3 linked regions of the Xenopus tropicalis genome follow. The protein of the gene in region 2 interacts with the protein of the main gene of each other region in a pairwise test. Links are inferred from orthologs where the notes say so. Each region holds a gene or a part of one and is shown on either strand. Other genes may lie near its edges.

Region 1 (6,507 bases), on a different chromosome or scaffold from region 2:
ATTAGATGACATTTTATAAAATAAAAAAAAAATGTATTAGTATAAGGCTTTGTTGTATACATTATAATACATACAAGGGCATATTTTGGCTGTTTAAATTGCACACCACATATGATACCAAAATTACTTTCTTCTTTCACATTGGCTTGTGTAGTCTGTATTTCCAAACTGGACCCCATAATGTTGCGTGTGTTTTATATGTCCAAGTGGTCCACTTATGCCACAATTTTGAGTTGTCTTTACTAGTCACAGTTCTTCTTACTGACTGAAACCTGAGATGTTGAGTGAAGTGGTCTAAAGTGTCTATATTCTGTGCAAACATCCTGTATAAATTCCATTTACATTTGCATGAAGTTTATTATAACTTCATAGATATATACAGTACATATTCATGTAAATTAGTGTATAAAAAGCCAGAGAGGAGAACAACTCTGCAAATAAAACCCTAATGCCCTAAAATATACATTATAGTTAGGATAAATATATATTTTGTAAAGGTATGGGATCTGTTATCCTGGAACCCATTATTCAGGAACATCTGCCATAGACTCCATGTTAATGAAATAATTCAGGTTTTTAAAAATGATTTCCTTTTTCTCTATAATAATAAAACAGTACCTTGTGATTAATCCCAACTAAGATATAATTAATCCTTATTGAAGGCAAAACAATCCTATTGGGTTTTATTCATGTTTTAATGATTTTTATTAGACTTAAGGTATGAATATCCAAATTACACCTTATCGAATTATGTATCAAGAATTCTGGATAACAGGTCCTATACCTGTAATATGTTCTAGATCATTTTGCGGACACTTGATATAACTATAGAAACTGTAAAAGGTATGTGGTTAATAAATATTTACATCTAAATTACTGAATAGAGTTGAAAATTTGAGATGAGCAAAAAAGAGGTCACTAGAGAGAAATGCCACAAATCTCTTTATGGGGTTTTATGGGCATATTTATCAAAGGATGAAAGTGACAATTAACCTTATGTCTATTATTTTGTTGGTACCTGCTGGTAAAGTAATAGCAATATTCTCAGAAACATGCCAAAAAACCCAAATAAGAGTGCAGGAATGCAACATCTGGGTTCAAACTGTGATGGACACTGTCGCTTTGCACCATTTGGTATTATAATGTAGTTAGTGACACAGCAAGGTGCTGCTTCAGTCACAGTGGTGTATTGGAATACAAGAAAAATGGGGGGGGGGGGGTAAAGTAAAGGTGGGAGCAAGGCACAGACATGAAGACATTATTGAAAGGTATTGTGGTTATTCAGCTTTCATTTGACTTACCAAAGTAGCAATCTTTCTTGCATTTATTGTGTTCCATATACTTGACCCAAACATGTATTTATTCTTTTCTCAATGTGCCTCTGGTCATCAGCAACATTGCATAGTGTAAGAATATGTTTTATTTAATAATGTGTGTGTTTTCTTTTTCCTTTACATTATAAAAGTCTATCCTACCCGCAAAACTGCAATTTGGAAGCAGTCATGTCTTACAGGCTAAAGCCAGGGAAGATGACTAGTAATAAAAGCGGTATGGAACATAAGGCATTGTGGTTGCTTGGTTAAAACACAGGGATCATTGTGGGTCATTTTCCACTGATATTTGCCTTTCGCATTGCAAGTAGCCCTTAACCCATGTGTCATACAAAACTGCTGTAGTGTACAACTACCCAAACAGGAGAATGGCATAAATGAATTTGCTTAGACAACTGACTATATAGGAGAACAAAGCAATGGACAAATACTTGAGAAGAAACTGTATAGGAAATTAGAGAATTGAGAGCATTGGGAACATATGGTACATAAGAGGTATTAATAAGCCAGGAAGCATAACAGATGGGTAACTCGTGCCACAGTAAGCATATCAAAAGCTGCAACGAGGGTCTGAGAGTTGTAGTTCCACAACATCGGGGCAGATGCCACATACCATTGCTTCACATTACAGATCCCAGCTGCAGCCGTTACATTAACCTTTAAATACAGAATATAATGCTAGACTTATGGCACGCTCCTGTAGCCAGCGTATATAAATGTGCATCAAGCCTACCGGCAAATGTAGCTTAGGCAGCTGGGGAGATCTGCACGTAAGTGAAAGAGCAGGCGTGATTACTTCAGAATTTATTTAGGGACTGGTAGAAACCACTCCAACAGCAAAGGGAACAATCATGAGAGATTCCAGTGAACTTTTCTGCTTTCTCTATCAGATGTTAAACTGTTGCATAACTCTCATCAAATTAGGTGTTTAGTGTAGATTTTCCTTGCTGCTCTTTTTGAACATTCATTTAAACCTTATTTCAAAATGATAAAAGCAGAAATTATTTTGCCTTAATAGAATCATATGTTATTTTTTTCCCTTAAATACTGAATACCCAATTGTAAAAATAGACATCATTATTTGCCCTTGATTTTACCATAAAACACTGCTCATATTTTAGATTAAATAGAAAAAAAATTACAATGATATTATTTCTAATGGGAGATTTTGTATTTACGTTTATAACTAAATCATTCCAAAAGACGTCTTCTAATGTTTATCAATTAATTTGTAGAATAATAAGCCAGTTTCAGATTTTTTGGGCATGATAAATAAATACAGCAATTGCAGTATTATCTTAAAAATATTATACATAATATAAGATATTTATATATTATATGTATATGTGTGTATATATTTTTCAAAATGTGTTTTATTTACATGTATGTAGGTGTGTGTATAATATAACAAGAACATTTTCTGATGTCAGTCATTTTTTTTTACCAGCCAATCAAATATTTATTTTTATGAGATATAGCTTAGTTGGAATGCTGTAATCAATGCAAATAACCTTTCAGTATACAGAGGCTGCTGCAGATTCCCTTCATTCTCATGCAGCTGTCAAAGGATGCTGGGGCTTTAAGAGACACCTCCCCTCTTCAGCTCTAAACAATGGTTTCTACCGAGCTCTGCTTCCCATTGCAAAATTTGTAATGTGCCATTTTTCCCATGGATGCCTTTCCATTTGGGTGCTGACAGGAGAGGCAGACATGCTGAAGTGCCAAGCTGATTCTGCCTACAGACTCGTGCCTGGAGGGTGCTATGACTTTAGCATATTGTGAGCAAGATTTGTGTTCGAATTGATGGGGAAATGGTCCAGGAGTGCTCAGTGTGATTCCAGGAGCCAGTGGAGACTGCAGACTGATTTCATTGATCTCTTGAAGAAGCGAACAGAATTATAGAAGATTAGGTACTGAAAAATCTCTTTCTAATGAGATCATGTAGATGATTTGTTAATATTTGTTATATTAATACACACATGACGGGAAAGTTAAGAGTCATGCATGCAAATGCCTTGGTTCTGGCAGACAAGTGCTGTTCATCTAGTGATGGCTTCTGCAGGGAACATATTCTCTATCACAGGGCTGCTCATCCTTAATCATTTCATCTGACAGCTTTGTACTGTGTGTCCATCTCTGTGTCTGTGTGTGTGTTAGATTAGTGCAATTTGCTAGTATCTTCTATAGAGTGCCCTGGAAAGCAAGGAGTTAAATAGGAGGAGGGATATGCATGATGTAATGCAATTGAGACAATGGCAAGGATTTTCCTGCTCGCATTACACTGTGCGGCACCTACAGCCAGTGTTCTTCTAAAATGTGTGAAAAATAAGTCATGCTGAATAGAGCAGTAGGATTTACCATGGGTGGGTACGTGGGTGGGGGAATTGCACCCCATAATTATGCACATGCTGCAGCACTGAATGGGTTAATGCATCTATTTCTTCTACTCATCCCTGAGGCATTTTGGTTAAATAGGAGATCTCTTTCAGAGTTGATTGCTGTGCCTCCTAAGCATACAGTTTCCAGTCTGTGCAAGCTCAATTCATGAAACAGGAAAAAATCTGAAAGAAAGAGGGCAGGGAGTCATTGATAGGATACAGGCACAGATAAGTCAGGAACAGTAACCCAAGTGACAATGAAGTGAGACAGGAGCAAGACACGATCATATGTGCAGGTGTGGGGACAGGTTCACACCAAGAGGGGGGGGATAAAAGGATGACCGTGACTCTTAGAACTGCAGCATTACACTGACCTGTCTGCTGTTTAAAGGGACACACTGTCACATAAGAGGCACACCCAGAAAAAAAAATAAAAAATAAATATATATATATATATATTTACATTTCAGTCATAATCAAAACATGCAAATAATATGGTCTCTATGCAAATAGAAATCAACATATTGAGCAGGTGACAGAAAAATCTTTAAGGGACTATGCCATAAATGGATGAGTAAAGTGCGGAGCATGGGGAGTGGTGACAGAGGACTGTATATGGGGTACAGTTAATCTGCATGGGCACTGGTATACTTCTTATGTGCAGTGCATGGCCCTGCAGAGTTCATGTTTCACTAACTTAATGGGGCCAAGAAAGGGAGTTTTTCCCAGAAGGGTGCCACTCAGTGCTGCCACTGATCCCTGCTCATATGCAGGGGGAAGGTTATGTCTATATTCAGGATGGCTCAGCAACTCTAGTTCATCAACTACTGGGCAGGGGTTCTGAGCTTAAAAAAAATTAAAAACGATCATCTGTGAAATATATTGACAAATGTTACATGAATGTTCCTTAATTATGAGTTAATGACCTTTACTGTATCTTTTGCATTCTATGGACTCCAGTGATTGCTTAAGGTCTTTAAACAATGCATTCATTTATTAGATGAAGTTATGAAGTGCACCTTGACTGTATATTCTAGCTGCATAACCCAATATTTCCATAGACCCTTTTACTTACCTTGACTGATATATAGTTGGCCCTGTGTCCATAGATCAAGAAATGACACCCCAGTTCCCAAAACAGTAGTATAGGGCATTAGAAAAGAGAAATAACATTGTTACATTTAACAGAGACCTTGCTGCATTTAAGCTATGACTAATGCAACCTAAGAAAAAGTATTGTATTCTTTCCAAATATCATTCCACAGTACTTGCTGTTTTTTTTTTTTCTTTTCTAATATTTAAACCTGGAGGGCAGAACCAAGGACTGTGTGGTAAAGGAACAACCTCTGCCTTACATTATTTCCTCTGAAGGATCTGTGGGAGTTTAAATGTGTGAAACACATAATTATGTAGTGTTGATTTTCTCTTGAACTTTGGAGGTGGCTCAAAAAAAAAAGTAAATAAACAGATTCTTTCCAATTGTTTGGGCCGCTAAAAAACACTGAGTTATGGCAAATCATGAACAAACAATTAAACACATCAGGACAAAAGAAAGTGTATATAGAATGTAGCAATGATGTGCATTAATACCATTTTATGTGGCTCAATTAAATTCTGTTATTTGTTTTGTTTTGTTTTTTGGTGGGGGGGGGATTACCAAATATAACAAGGATAATCCCAAATATAAAATAAATTGTTAAAGTGGATGTAAACTGAAAAATACCATTTTCTATGGTTTTAATTAATTGTAAATGTACAATTCTATTGCTGCACTGGCAGTCCTGACTTTTAAAACAGTGTAGCAGAAGCTAGCTAAGAAAAGAGAAAGTAATTCAGATATATACATAAAAGTTGTTTTCTCTTTTAAAAGCTTGTACATAATTCCAATGTCCAGTGTATGAGTCTGAAGCTGTTCATCATGCAGTATCTGTTTTAATTGTCTTCCTATATTTAACAAATCAATCTAAAAAAACTTAATATCTGTACCTCTAATCACTGGCCCCCAAGTGTACCTGGGACAAATTTTTATCTGCGTCCTGTCCTTTTAACAAAAGCTTTGAGTCTTATAAGGGTAGGGCTGCTGTAGACTTGACATTTTAACAACTACCTGGTTGCTAGGGTTTAATTGCCATAGCAACCTGGCATCAGTTTGGAAGCCAGAATAGTAGAGGGCCTGAATACTAATATATGCAATAAACAACAAGAATACTGATAACATTTAAGCTTTAGCATCAGTGTATTTTCGGCTTCCAGGAACTAGATGGCATATTTAGTTGGAAATAGGCAGAATAAGAACATTAATAAAAGGTCACTAGTAATGAGCAAATTTTTTCCCCAGACATGGTTTTGCAACGAAATGCCACTTTTTGGAATCAGCAAATTTTTTCTCTCAAAAAAAAAAAGGTCTCTCCAACATTTGAAGTAAAAAAAAAACGTCACCCGTGTAAAATTTGATCAGTGTGTTTTGCATTTTTTTGCCATGATCACTGATTTTTTTGGCGACGTGAAACAGGACAGATTCGCTTATTACATTAGCAAAATAGGAAGGCTAAAAATGTAAAAACCAATAGGAATAAAAACAATATAAATCAATGTAAAAGTTAGAATATGTTTTGGATAATGTGATGGAATTACCCCCTCTGCAGAGCAGTTGGGCATAAGGGATCAAAAAAGGCAAATCTTGCCCTGAACTAGGATTGGCACCTTTCCTACAGTAAATTACCAGCTGCTTTGTTAGGGGAGTAAGGCAGTGAGGCATGGGGAGGCGTCATGACACAAAAAAGGCAGGGTAATTCTGC
Region 2 (6,460 bases):
GTTTGCATGTTCAACCATTTATGTTTGAGCTCCTCCCACACACTAGACTGCAAGCTCTATGGGGTAGGGACTGAATGTAGATGGTGGCGCTACACACAGTAAATAAAGGATAATAAAGCAATTCCTTCTGTATAGGAAAACAAGTAAAACCTGTTAAAAGGGATAATTAGGAGCCTTTTTTACCTTTAGCAGCAATTCTGTAGATTTATGATGTGAAGATCATTAAACCATCTCTGCTGATTTTACATTTATAGGGGATGGTGTAGGAATTTGGGAACCAAGCGATATATTTTTACACCTTGTCTGAATCCGCTTGTCGTACTTTTCATTTATTACTAACCCAAAGTAACCCAACTGTAGTGGGTGGGGGTTAGACGCCGGCATGTAAACAGTGTAACATATAACATATAAAAGCAAACCTGTGCACAAATATATATACAGTAAAACATATTTATACTGTATATTAAGGGGCAAAACATTTGGCTTCTTAACTTTTCTGGGCTCTCTGCCAAAAGCTACTTTTTTAATTAAGTTTGAGAAACCTTGTATCTTTTTTAGTGTTCAGTGCAGGAGTTCAAAGGCAAATGAGGGACTTTTCAATAAGAATCTAGGACTGCGAGCTGAGCTGTTACAATTGGGACTGTCCCACGAAAATCAGGACAGTTGGGAGGCATGATTTAGCGTTTTGTTCAGCAGCAACAATCAAGCAGTGGTTTAAAACAGAGACAGGGATATGAATAAGGGAGGACTTAAATAGAAAGATAAGTCATTAAAAGTAACAATAACAATACAACTGTAGCCTCATAAAGCAATAGTTTTTGGCTGCCGGGGTCAGTGACCCCCATTTAAAAGCTGGAAACAGTCAGAAGAGGAGGGCAAATAATTTAAACACTATATAAAATGAAGATCAACTGAAAAGTTGCTAAGAATCCATTCTATAACATAGTAAAAGTTAACCTGAAGGGGAACCACCCATTTAACCTATATTCTACAAATGTTCCTAAAGCTTAATACCCTCAATTAATTGTACTTTTATTTTCTTTTGATCTGGAGATCAATCTCCAGACTGCCACCACTCTTACAATGGTTTTAAGATGTTGTACAGGTATGGAATCCCTTATCCAGAAACCCATTATCTGGAAAGTTCCGAATTACGGAAAGGCCATCTCCCATAGACTCCATTATAAGCAAATAATTCTAATTTTTAAAAATGATTTCCTTTTTCTCTGTAATAATAAAACAGTACCCGTACTTGATCCCAACTAAGATATAATTACCCCTTATTGGGGGCAGAACAGCCCTATTGGGTTTATTTAATGGTTAAATGATTCCCTTTTCTCTGTAATAATAAAACAGTACCTGTACTTGATCCCAACTAAGATATAATTACCCCTTATTGGGGGCAGAACAGCCCTATTGGGTTTATTTCATGGTTAAATGATTCCCTTTTCTCTGTAATAATAAAACAGTACCTGTACTTGATCCCAACTAAGATATAATTACCCCTTATTGGGGGCAGAACAGCCCTATTGGGTTTATTTAATGGTTAAATGATTCCCTTTTCTCTGTAATAATAAAACAGTACCTGTACTTGATCCCAACTAAGATATAATTACCCCTTATTGGGGCAGAACAGCCCTATTGGGTTTATTTATTGGTTAAATGATTCCCTTTTCTCTGTAATAATAAAACAGTACCTGTACTTGATCCCAACTAAGATATAATTACCCCTTATTGGGGCAGAACAGCCCTATTGGGTTTATTTCAATGGTTAAATGATTCCCTTTTCTCTGTAATAATAAAACAGTACCTGTACTTGATCCCAACTAAGATATAATTACCCCTTATTGGGGGCAGAACAGCCCTATTGGGTTTATTTAATGGTTACATGATTCCCTTTTCTCTGTAATAATAAAACAGTACCTGTACTTGATCCCAACTAAGATATAATTACCCCTTATTGGGGGCAGAACAGCCCTATTGGGTTTATTTCATGGTTAAATGATTCCCTTTTCTCTGTAATAATAAAACAGTACCTGTACTTGATCCCAACTAAGATATAATTACCCCTTATTGGGGCAGAACAGCCCTATTGGGTTTATTTAATGGTTAAATGATTCCCTTTTCTCTGTAATAATAAAACAGTACCTGTACTTGATCCCAACTAAGATATAATTATCCCTTATTGGGGGCAGAACAGCCCTATTTGGTTTATTTAATGGTTAAATGATTCCCTTTTCTCTGTTATAATAAAACGGTAACTTGTACTTGATCCCAACTAAGATATAATTACCCCTATTGGGGGCAGAACAGCCCTATTGGGTTTATTTAATGGTTAAATGATTCCCTTTTCTCTGTAATAATAAAACAATACCTGTACTTGATCCCAACTAAGATATAATTACCCCTTATTGGGGGCAGAACAGCCCTATTGGGTTTATTTAATGGTTAATTGATTCCCTTTTCTCTGTAATAATAAAACAATACCTGTACTTGATCCCAACTAAGATATAATTACCCCTTATTGGGGCAGAACAGCCCTATTGGGTTTATTTAATGGTTAAATGGTTTTAAGCAGACGTAAGTTATGGAGATTCAAATTACAGAAAGATCCCTTATCAGGAAAACCCCAGGTCCTAAGCATTCTGAATAACAGGTCCTAAACCTCTACCATATTAGCCATTGAAATAGCCTGGGTGCTTCCAAAGCTTGCAATGTTTACTTACTCAGGTGACTTAACTAATAAAGGGTATCTCCTAACCTTACCTTTACCACTTTTACAATTACTTCACACTATTGCAGCTGATAAACTACAACTCCCATAATGCCTCTCCTCTCTCTTGCCAGGGAATTCCTCTCACTTGCCGGGGAATTCTGGTAAATGTTGTTCCGCTACCGCTAAGGGCGCAGTTGTTCCGCATGCAATGCTAACCTCCAGCCACCAGAGGCCGCTGTGGGGAGTTACTGTATGTTCGCTATGCGCTGTGACTAGCAGTAGAGCGGCGGGCACGCTGGTGTGTGTGCGCGTCACTTTGCACAACAAGCCGGAGGCCGCTTTCCCCGTTTCTCTCCTTGCTACACCGTGCGGGCCCGGGGCCCCTAACCAGCAGCCAGGATGCCGCGAATTATGATAAAAGGCGGGGTGTGGCGGAACACCGAGGTGAGAGGGGTTATGGCGTTGTGTAGCGGCTCAATGAACTCACATGGGCGCCTTGATATTTCCAACAGGGGATTCTGGGAGTTGTTGTTCACAGGGTCCCAGCTTGTGCTTTGGCCTTTTCCCTGTTAGTGTTTCAGGATTGTAAAGCTGACCAATTGCACAGGAGTATTTGAGTGAAGCTGAGCTGCTTAATTATAGGAAATAATAGTGTAATTTAGGTGCAGGTAACTAGTTCAATGTGCCTCTATGGCCTGTAGAGAAAGCCAATATAGGTGGGCCAACTTATACTACAACTCCCAGCATCCCATTGCTCGCCAGATTGTTTTGTGATCGAATTCCAACCAAGGTGTGTTTTCCTATAGCAACGAATCAGCAGATTGCATTGGTTGTCAATTGGTTGCTATGGACTGCAGCCACTGGGGGTTATGCCTTAGCTATTTGCATTATAGTCTCAGTCTTCATTTTTAATGTGGGGTTTTTATTTTAAATGATTAAGCTGTTTGTTCAGCAGCTCTCCAATTTTGAATTTCATCTGCTATCTGGTTGCTAGGGTCCACTTCATCCTAGCAGCTAAGCAGTGGTGTGGAAGGTGAATAGAAGAATGGTCTAAATAGAAAAGTAATATAAAGTAAAAAAAAATAAAATTGGGCTCAGTGCCCTACGTTTTGAAAGATGGATAGGGACAGAGGGGAAGGGAAATCCATCAAAACCTTTAAAAAAAAAAAAAAAAAAAAAAAAATATATATATATATATATGCATTTTGCTTCATACTAAGATACCCCTGTACCCTATGTCTCCCTCACTTCTCATGTGTGGTGTTGATATACTATAACGCACTTTCCTCTTTATTTTCTCAGGATGAAATCCTCAAAGCGGCTGTTATGAAATATGGGAAAAACCAGTGGTCTCGTATTGCTTCCTTGCTGCACAGGAAATCGGCCAAACAGTGCAAAGCCCGATGGTACGTCCCGGCCATTATAGCCACGGGCCCGTAGCGTTCCATACGTTCCTGTTCTAATATGAAACCAGATAAACTGCCCCGCAACAGCTGGTATTCTGCATTGGTGGAAGGGGGGGGGGGTAAAGAGAATGGGCAAAGCAGGCATGGAAAGGGTTACACATGCACATAATGCACTGACAGTCTATCCATATTGTCTGTAATGAAGGGCATGGTCATGTGACTGAACATTGGGCTGTAAAGCTCTGCGTATATTGATGGCGCTATATAAATAATGATAATTTGGGTTACACCTAGAAATGCACCTTGAAGAAATGTGTATACATACATGTAGCAATATGTATTGCTACAATACATACATACATACCTACCTACATACATACCTATGTACATGCATACATACCTATATACATACATATTGATATATTAGCCCAATATTGCACCCTGAAAACATTTAGGAAATTGTTTCAGTGTGTAATCTTCTGCTATGAGCATTTAAAGTATTTTAAGTTTTTTAAAAAGTAAACATAATTTCAAGCAGTATATATCAATTAAAAGTATGCAGCCTTTTCATGGTTTTTAATGTAATAATATGGTTTGGAACAGTTCCCTAAGCCCCGCCCCCTGTTCCCCTGCTGATCTGGCTGGCTACTTTGTGACTCAAATAAAATGTAACAGTAGTCGCCTGTCCCCAGCCTGCCTTCAGCCTTCATCCTCCCAATCCCACAATCCCCTGCTGCACACGTGATGTCAATAAGGAAAGGAACATCCTAGTGCAATGCATTGTGGGTTATGTAGTTCCTGCATGCTGTCTGTAAGCTGTGGAGAAGTTGTTACAATCTGTAACATCAGTGTTTTAGTCCCTTCTCCCCTGCCAGGATTTCAAATGATGCAGAAAGAGAAGGACTGTTTTGCAGCTGGATTTCAGCATATAAAAATGGTATTTATTTTTACTTTTTGACGGAACAGATTTCAGTGATAGGTATATTAGGGATTTCTGTGTTGTGTGGGGCTCTTTAACAAAAAACAGAGTGATATCACAGTCAAATTAAGTTCCATGCTTTCACTTAGATTTGTTGGCAGACAAGCTAACAATTACCAAGTGCCCTTCTGAATATCTGTAGTAACATTGGTTGCTAAATTCGTTTAATGTCTCTGTGACAGGTATGAATGGCTTGACCCAAGCATCAAAAAGACAGAATGGTCCCGAGAAGAAGAGGAGAAACTACTTCATCTGGCCAAGCTGATGCCAACTCAGTGGAGGACAATCGCTCCTATCATAGGAAGAACAGCCGCCCAGTGCCTTGAGCACTATGAATATTTACTGTACGTACCATTCATTCTGAAAATGTACATTTGAATTGTTGTTGAGCAGTTTGAACAGTTGTTTTCTGATACAGCAGTGTGAATACGTTCCCATTCTATCAGGCAAGAAGTAACTGTACCCTTAACCAGAAGAGGAATTTGATATGGGTTTTTTTCTTAATCGCTATTGTGTCCTTTGCTTGTTTTTACCCCATACTGAGGTATAGTTTACCAGCCCAAACCTGATTATTAGGGATTCTGACCATAGCATTTGCTAGTTAAAGGACCAGTAATTTGAAAAATAGATTTGTTAGACATACTGGGATACATTTATTATCTCTTACATGTTAAAATCTTGTGCTGGCCATATATGTTAAAGGAACAGTTCGGTTTGAAAATAAAACTGAGTAAAATAGACAGACTGCGCAAAATAAAAAATGTTTTCGATATAGTTAGGCAAAAATGTAATCTATAAAGGCTGGAGTGGGCAGATGTCTAACATAATAGCCAGAACACTACTTCCTGCTTTCAGCTCTCTAACCTCTTAGTGAGTGACTAGAGGTGGGGCCACATGGGACACAACTGTTCAGTTATGTCCCATATGGCCCCACCTCTAGTCACTGATTGGTTACTGACTGCTAACAGCTTAGAGAGCTGTAAAGGGGAAAGTAGAGTTACATTTTTGTCTAACTATATTGAAAACATTTTTATTTTATGCAGTATGTCTACTTTACCCAGTTTCATTTTTACATTGAATTGTTCCTTTAAGATCCAGTTGACTGGTGACGAAGCCAAATAAGTGCAATATTACTTGCTTAGGCCTCACTGCTGGTAGGCCACATAGTTTGGCCTGTGGACCAATGATAAGCTCACACAGGGAGCTGTTGCAGACCACTTGGGGGAGGACAGTGTTCATGGCACAATAAAAGTTTTCAGACAGTCTGAGTTATATCTAGCCAAGGCCCAGTTATTGGTCATGGAAGCCATTTTTTGGTCCCATCTATAAGCTGCAGACTCAAGCAGGAGTGACTCTTTA
Region 3 (6,576 bases), on a different chromosome or scaffold from region 2:
CAGAGCAACTTTTAGGGAAAATATGCAATGGACTGGTCAAAAACTAACTCAGTGATGCCATTTTATTTAACTTTTGCAGGTGTTCGTCTTCAGACTTAAGGTGGGCATACACAGGCTGCCGAGCTGGCACCTTATTGACCCATGTATGGGACCCTCAGATGGGCACCCTTAACCGATATCTGGCTAAAAATTGGCCATATCTCGATCAGGCAGGTTTAAATATACTGGCAGAGTGAGGAGCATAACTGCTTGTTGATGCGGTCCTTGCCCCGACAGCCTGAATCCCATCAATGTGATCCAATTGTTCAGCTATCGTGCCAAATGATTGGATCAATCCAATGTTGCCCTCCTCAAGGGAGCTGCTGGGCAACCTACAGTTATGGCAAGCTTTAAACTGTATGCGCAGTAACATAACATTTTGTAAATTGAATGGTACAGGTATAGGATCCCTTATCCAGAAACCCATTATCCAGAAAGTTCTGAATTACGGAAATGCCGTAGACTCCATATCCCCCATAGACTCCATTATAAGCAAATAATTCTAATTTTTAAAAATGATTTCTTTTTTCTCTGTAATGATAAAACAGTCCCTTGTACTTGATCCCAACTAAGATATAATTAATCCTTACTGCAGGCAAAATAATCCTACTGGGTTTAAATGATTTTTTAGTAGACTTAAGGTATGGAGATCCAAATTGCAGAAAGATCCCTTATCCGAAAATCCCCAGGTCCAAAGCATTCTGGATAATGGGTCCATTACCTGTACTGCACAAAGTTTATGCTAAGGATGCTTTGGAAAGGTAAGTATGCTGTAAAATGGATGTGTGGCTTTGCTTTCGTTTTTTCCCAGGATGGTCAATTATTTTTACTAAAGGAAGCCTTAGGTCCAGACTGCGATTCAAAATAGGTCCTGGGATTGGAAATACACAGAAGTCTCAGCTGACCCCCCCAATAAATAGTGACTGTCTATGGCATCTTACAGCAGCTCCCCTGGCCATTGTGGGCCTGTCTTTAGTATAGGAGTTTGTAATTGCTCTCTACACTAACAATCAACTGCCCTACACCAGTCTGTGTGAAATGTGGTGGGACAGCATTGGGTTTGCCCCCTTAGGCAGCAAAATATTAAGAAGCACCTCTTTTGTTTTTATGGTAGCAGCTCTAGCATTCCCCAGGGGTGCAGCTTACTTACCTTTGTTAGTTAAGTTATAAAAGATTTCTCATATTTCTTATAACAATGGTACAACATACTGTACAACTTTCTCCTCTGTCAGAATACTTAATTTAAAATTGTAATCTTGCTCTTTTAGAATGTAAGCTCTATTAAATATATGTAAGAGTGCATCTTATTAGCTGAGAGATAAGCAGACCTATAACTTCCAGAAATACTTTGGTGTTTAAGGAGCATCTGTCATCATAAATAGCTTCCCCCCACCAGAGATGCCAGCGCTAAGCTTCCAACACCAGGAAGGTGCTTCCCGTTCAGATGGGCATGTGAAGGCATATACATGTGCATAATAAGTGATTGTGTATGGTGAAGCACAGCTGTCCCCCTAGTTGTCCCCCTACCAGAATAAAGGTTCTGTTAGCTTGCACCTCCAGTGGGTAAAACAATTTTTGGATGATTAAGCAAGGATTTTGTACCGTAATCTCTGTAATACAGTAAGGCTCCTAAAACTGATTTTACATGCTGGTGATTGTGTTTAAATTAAAAGACTTGCTCAATGTTAAGACTGTAATTCTAATGTAGCTTAAAGAGCAATGTAATTAGCTAATAGGGGTGTTTTGTTTTGTAAGACAGCAAAAGGCATGCCTACAAGTCATCTGGGAAGCTTAAAGCTCTGTTCCAGTAGTCACTGAAACCCCAGACATTTACTGCCATCAGTGCGTACAATTGGCATTGGGGTGACTGTCTAAGGACCATGGATTAGGATGACACACATGATGGTTAGTTACCACATATAAATACAATTTGGCTACACAAGCTATTGATGGTGAAACAGACTGCCTTGTGGATCAATCAGCTGTATCACATGGAAGAAAGACAGGAAGTGCAGGAAAGTTAACTGTTGACTTGATTGTCTGGCCAGCATACATGTACCAAAAGTCATATGAAAAATCAGCCTTTCACAAACATAACACATACCCTGTTCTAGCCATAGACATCTTCCTCCTTTCAAAAATAGTGTTCTTTCCCAAACAATTCTGCTAGGTCGAAAAAAAAGTAGCCAGTTTGGTAAATAAATGGAAAACCCATGGCCCTGCCTCCTTCTTTATTTCAAAAGCTGGTTGCGCTGTGCGCTTTCACAAATACAGCGTTCTGTCAATATGCAGAAGTGCACAGTTCTATTTATCTGACTAGAGATTCTGGGTGCTGTAGTTCACTAGCTGAATGACTGCAGACTGAACAACAGATATATTCAACTTCTGAATTACCAAACTCGCCCCGTGTGTCTTCACCCTAATAGGCACTGTTAAAAGTCACGGTGACCTGTACAACACGGTCGCGGCAATATTCTATTTTACACGGAGGTTAGTCACTGAGATTAGTCACCGTGACTGTGGTTTTCTTAAAAGTAGCAGCAACTATTTGCCCATCTGTCTTCGCCTAACAGGAGTGGGACTGAATAGAATGAAAAGTAAAAATACCAATAAAGTTGTAGCTTTACAGAGCAAAACTGATTTAGCTGCTGTAATCAGACAGAAGAAGAAGGTAAATTATTCAAAATCTGTAAAAAAATAAACAATGAAGAGCAGTTGTTAGGAATAGGACATTCTGAAACAAATATAGAGAAAATACAATATTTAGCACATCTTTTCATGTTCATGTGATTGATCAATAGTGCAAGATAAGAAATATCTTGAATAATGAAAAATGTACGATATGTACCCACTGTGAGGGGTAGCTTGTGTGATGTGTTTCATGTGGGCTCAGCAGGCAGGAAAGCTTACTGAGGTTTGCATCTGTTTTCTGTTATTTTTCCTGTGACAACATCCTATAAACTACAAGTTGCCATAGAGACATAAGCCTGACACACCATACGCTGGTAGGATCCCATTACGAGCATGCTCAGTTGCACTTCTCGTCCCCCTCCCTACTCTGCTCTCAAGATCTGGTTTCAAATTAACGGGCTGCATGGACCAGCTTTATCCCTGATGGCTCCTTATTCTTTGTGTCTGGAAATAGCCGGGGAGCACAGGGAGCATTGGTGACAGTAAGAGAAGAGAGCCACGTTTGGGGGTTGCTTTTTACTGAATGATGATTGCCAGTCTGGCCAGGGGGAATTTGCTGGACATTATTCATGAAGGATTCCCAGAGGTAAATGCATGTTTTATTAAGCAGTTCCTGTGCCAGGCAGATGTGTTGGCTTTGGTGACAGTGTAACCCTTTATGTTTTGGCACTGCAAAGAGGTGTGGAAAAGTTGTAAAAGTCGGGGGAAGTGGTGGCTTGGTAACTAAGAGATTCGTCTCTCTAGCGCTTCCTTTTCTCAGCATCAGTAGAGCAGCAACTGGGTCATATCTTCCTGTCATTTTATCTCTAGCAGGCTTACACATTAGATTGGCCTGGCCGCATATATCATCTTACTCTAGTCTCTGGCAGGATGTCATTGATTTGTGTAATTCATTTAAATTCATGTATGCTTGTATCATATACTCTATTATACAGGTAGGCTTTTTTCATACACTATTTTAACAAACAGATTTACCTTAAATTAAGGTTGGGAAACATGTTACTTTCCCTCTATGTTGTTTAACTACATCTTCCAGCATCTCATCCCCCCCAGACAGCTCAGCTGACTTTTATTTTAGATTGTAAGCTCTTGGGAACAGGGTCATTTGATACAAAAAAGTATTCTTTACCTATGTTTGCTAAATTATTGTAAGGCCCCTGTGTTTTATAAATTAATGTAAAGTTCTGTGTAACTTTCTGGTGTTTTGATGATAGTTATGTAGGCTGAAGCAATCAATTAATCAAAACAATTTTGCATTTGGTCTTTTTTATGGTGTGGTATTCAGATTAGCAAAGCAGGTTTCCTGTTGTGTGTGGTTGCTAAATAAAAATTCAGCATGTTTTCTACTATGTGAACAACCACACAAGGGGACGTCTGTTGACCCCCTACTACGAAAACGCGGCAGATCTCTAGTTAGCTACTCAGATAAGCAAGCTGCATTATATCAGGTCATATCAGGTGATTATGACAAAACTATACCTGATAAGAAATTCTAATTACAATTGTATTAATCCTAATTACCATTTGACAATTCCTTTTGTTATGTAGGTGTTTGTCTCAGAACTCCCGTAGATATATACCTGTTAAATTACAGTACATATATAACATAAATGGCTTTATTCATACATGGTATCTTAAAATATTTCAAGCACTTCCATACTCTTAATTACTTTTTCTTACAGACCTGGACCTGGTACACACTTCATGCAGTTCTTTTATTGAATTGCTGCAGGCATGTTTGATTTAACTGCCAAATCCATACCTTTTTACTTGACATTATTATTATGTAATGACTTGATCAGCCTTTAGAGATCTGTAACCACAGTTTTCCGCTTTTCATATATATTAGATATGTGACACCAAGTGGCATAATACTAAGCCGCAAATGTTTTACTTCATGGCCAGTGGTATATTTGTAAATTTGCAATTAACACAGTGCTAATGCAAATACAGTCAAAACAGGGTGTGACCAAATAGCAGGCAAGAGTAGCTTGCCGGATAATCCCCAAATCAACATGTTAGGGTCATCAGAGTAAACCATGTCATTAGAGTGATAATGATCTGCTCCAGGTGTTTCTGTGAACTTATTTCAAACAGTATAACCCTCATTTTATGTTTTTCAGGTGACCAGGAAAAAATTGTGTAAAATCCAATAAAATGTAAATAGTAATGTGTTAAAACAACTTATTTTTCAAGTACTCAAAGGATATAAGCCCAGGAATAACTTTTACTTTAAAATACAATATTTGCATTTTTAATGACAAGGGTTACGCAGTGCAGCATTAATGTCACCCTATGGGGCATCATGCGCAAGTCAGATGCACAACCTAAAGCAGTAAGTGATTTGTGCATGGCTTTATGAGGTACAGACTCATTGGAACTGATAATTTACAGACAGGACCATGGTTTAGGCATCTGGTTAGAATTGTAAACCTCTTTATTTCACTAATAACAACATTCATAGAGGACAAGCAGATATTTTTAGGAACATTAGGCCAAAATTCTTATGTAAAATCTGTAAACATTATGTAAAATCATAGAAAGCATCCACTGAAATGCATTATAAATAGTTTGGGTCACAAAAAACAAAGTAAAATGCAGGAAAACGTAAAACAGGGTATGAAAAATTGATGTTTCACTGTTTTTAGAATGAAAAAGGAATTTGTATCAATGAATTCATGTATAATTGATGACATTCATATACGATTGATGGACTTATGTTGTCAAATGGCTGATTCAGGTTTTGCCCATCTGATTTGAACTGTATCTTGAATCAGTGCTTGGGTAATTTATATACATGGTTTGATCCACCCTTGACAGATTGATCTTTTGCCACTGTCCCTTTTAAACAATAAAAAGCTAACCTTTAGGTCCCTTCTATACAGTTAATTTAGGTCCTTTGGCAGCCAAACAATTAGAGTACTGGATGAGCTTCTGGTTTTATAACATTCTTCTAAAGCTGGCCATACATGCACCAATGATATTGTACAAAACCTCGTTTCGTACAATATTTTGTGCGTGTATGGTGGATCAACAAGATGACCTATATCGCAAAGGCTGCAGATATCGGTTGTCTTGTTGATCAGCTGGGTTAAAAGATTTTGATCAAGCGCCATTAAAGGCGCCCAAACAAAATCTGCGCTCAGGCTGAATCAGCAGGTGGAGGTAGAATTCCTATTGTTTCTACCACCAGATCTGACGATTCAGCCCTGAAAGATCAGAATTGCTACATGTATGGCCATGTATCTCTGGTACACCTTATCTCTACTGGTTACTGCCACCTGGCGGTACCAACCATCAACTTTCGAAGCAGATGGGCCCTGTCCCATAACAGCATTACCAGTGTTTGGATTAGAGTTAAGGGATAACCATGGAAACTCAAATGTATTCACATTTCCACAGTGCTGGCCCCAGTGGGCGGACTTTTACTTTCCAGGCAGAATTGCATCTGATTGTCACACATCGCTCACGTTTTAGCTGCTGTAAGACTAAATATAGCTCCTGAACAGTCAATCTTTTGCCCTTGCATATTTCACAGTCTTTCCTATTTTGCACCTAATTACAGCTTTATCTGTAATAGTTGTAACATGCATAGTCCTGAGTGGGAAAAGCTGTCAGTGAAAAAACAATGCCTCTTACAAGCCATAGTGATCTTGCTACAACTGGAAGAGTATCTCTTCCCGTCCCAATGAGAAATGTTGGTGGCTCTAAAGCATCTTGCCGAATGAATAGAGGCAAATAATTTCTACCTTAAGGATAGATACTACGTGGCAGGATATGCACTATGTGGAAAATACTTTTCTCAAGCATCCAGAAAAGACTATGAAATCCTTTAATCTTGGTAGA

The links.
Region 1: the proteins of cdc5l (region 2) and ppfia2 interact in a two-hybrid assay, tested with the Homo sapiens proteins (2 studies listed by BioGRID and IntAct). The link is inferred for Xenopus tropicalis from reciprocal best matches to the Homo sapiens genes CDC5L and PPFIA2.
Region 3: the proteins of cdc5l (region 2) and dixdc1 interact in a two-hybrid assay, tested with the Homo sapiens proteins (2 studies listed by BioGRID and IntAct). The link is inferred for Xenopus tropicalis from reciprocal best matches to the Homo sapiens genes CDC5L and DIXDC1.

What each region holds. Positions count from the first base shown.
Region 1 is NC_030679.2:52,879,125-52,885,631, reverse strand, and holds the start of ppfia2 (liprin-alpha-2), read left to right. Parts: upstream 1-2,922; 5' UTR 2,923-3,241; intron 3,242-6,507. UniProt on the Homo sapiens protein: Alters PTPRF cellular localization and induces PTPRF clustering. May regulate the disassembly of focal adhesions.
Region 2 is NC_030681.2:148,161,373-148,167,832, reverse strand, and holds the start of cdc5l (cell division cycle 5-like protein), read left to right. Parts: upstream 1-2,920; 5' UTR 2,921-3,115; coding exon 3,116-3,160; intron 3,161-4,018; coding exon 4,019-4,122; intron 4,123-5,283; coding exon 5,284-5,445; intron 5,446-6,460.
Region 3 is NC_030683.2:84,568,180-84,574,755, forward strand, and holds the start of dixdc1 (dixin), read left to right. Parts: upstream 1-2,991; 5' UTR 2,992-3,253; coding exon 3,254-3,316; intron 3,317-6,576. UniProt on the Homo sapiens protein: Positive effector of the Wnt signaling pathway; activates WNT3A signaling via DVL2. Regulates JNK activation by AXIN1 and DVL2.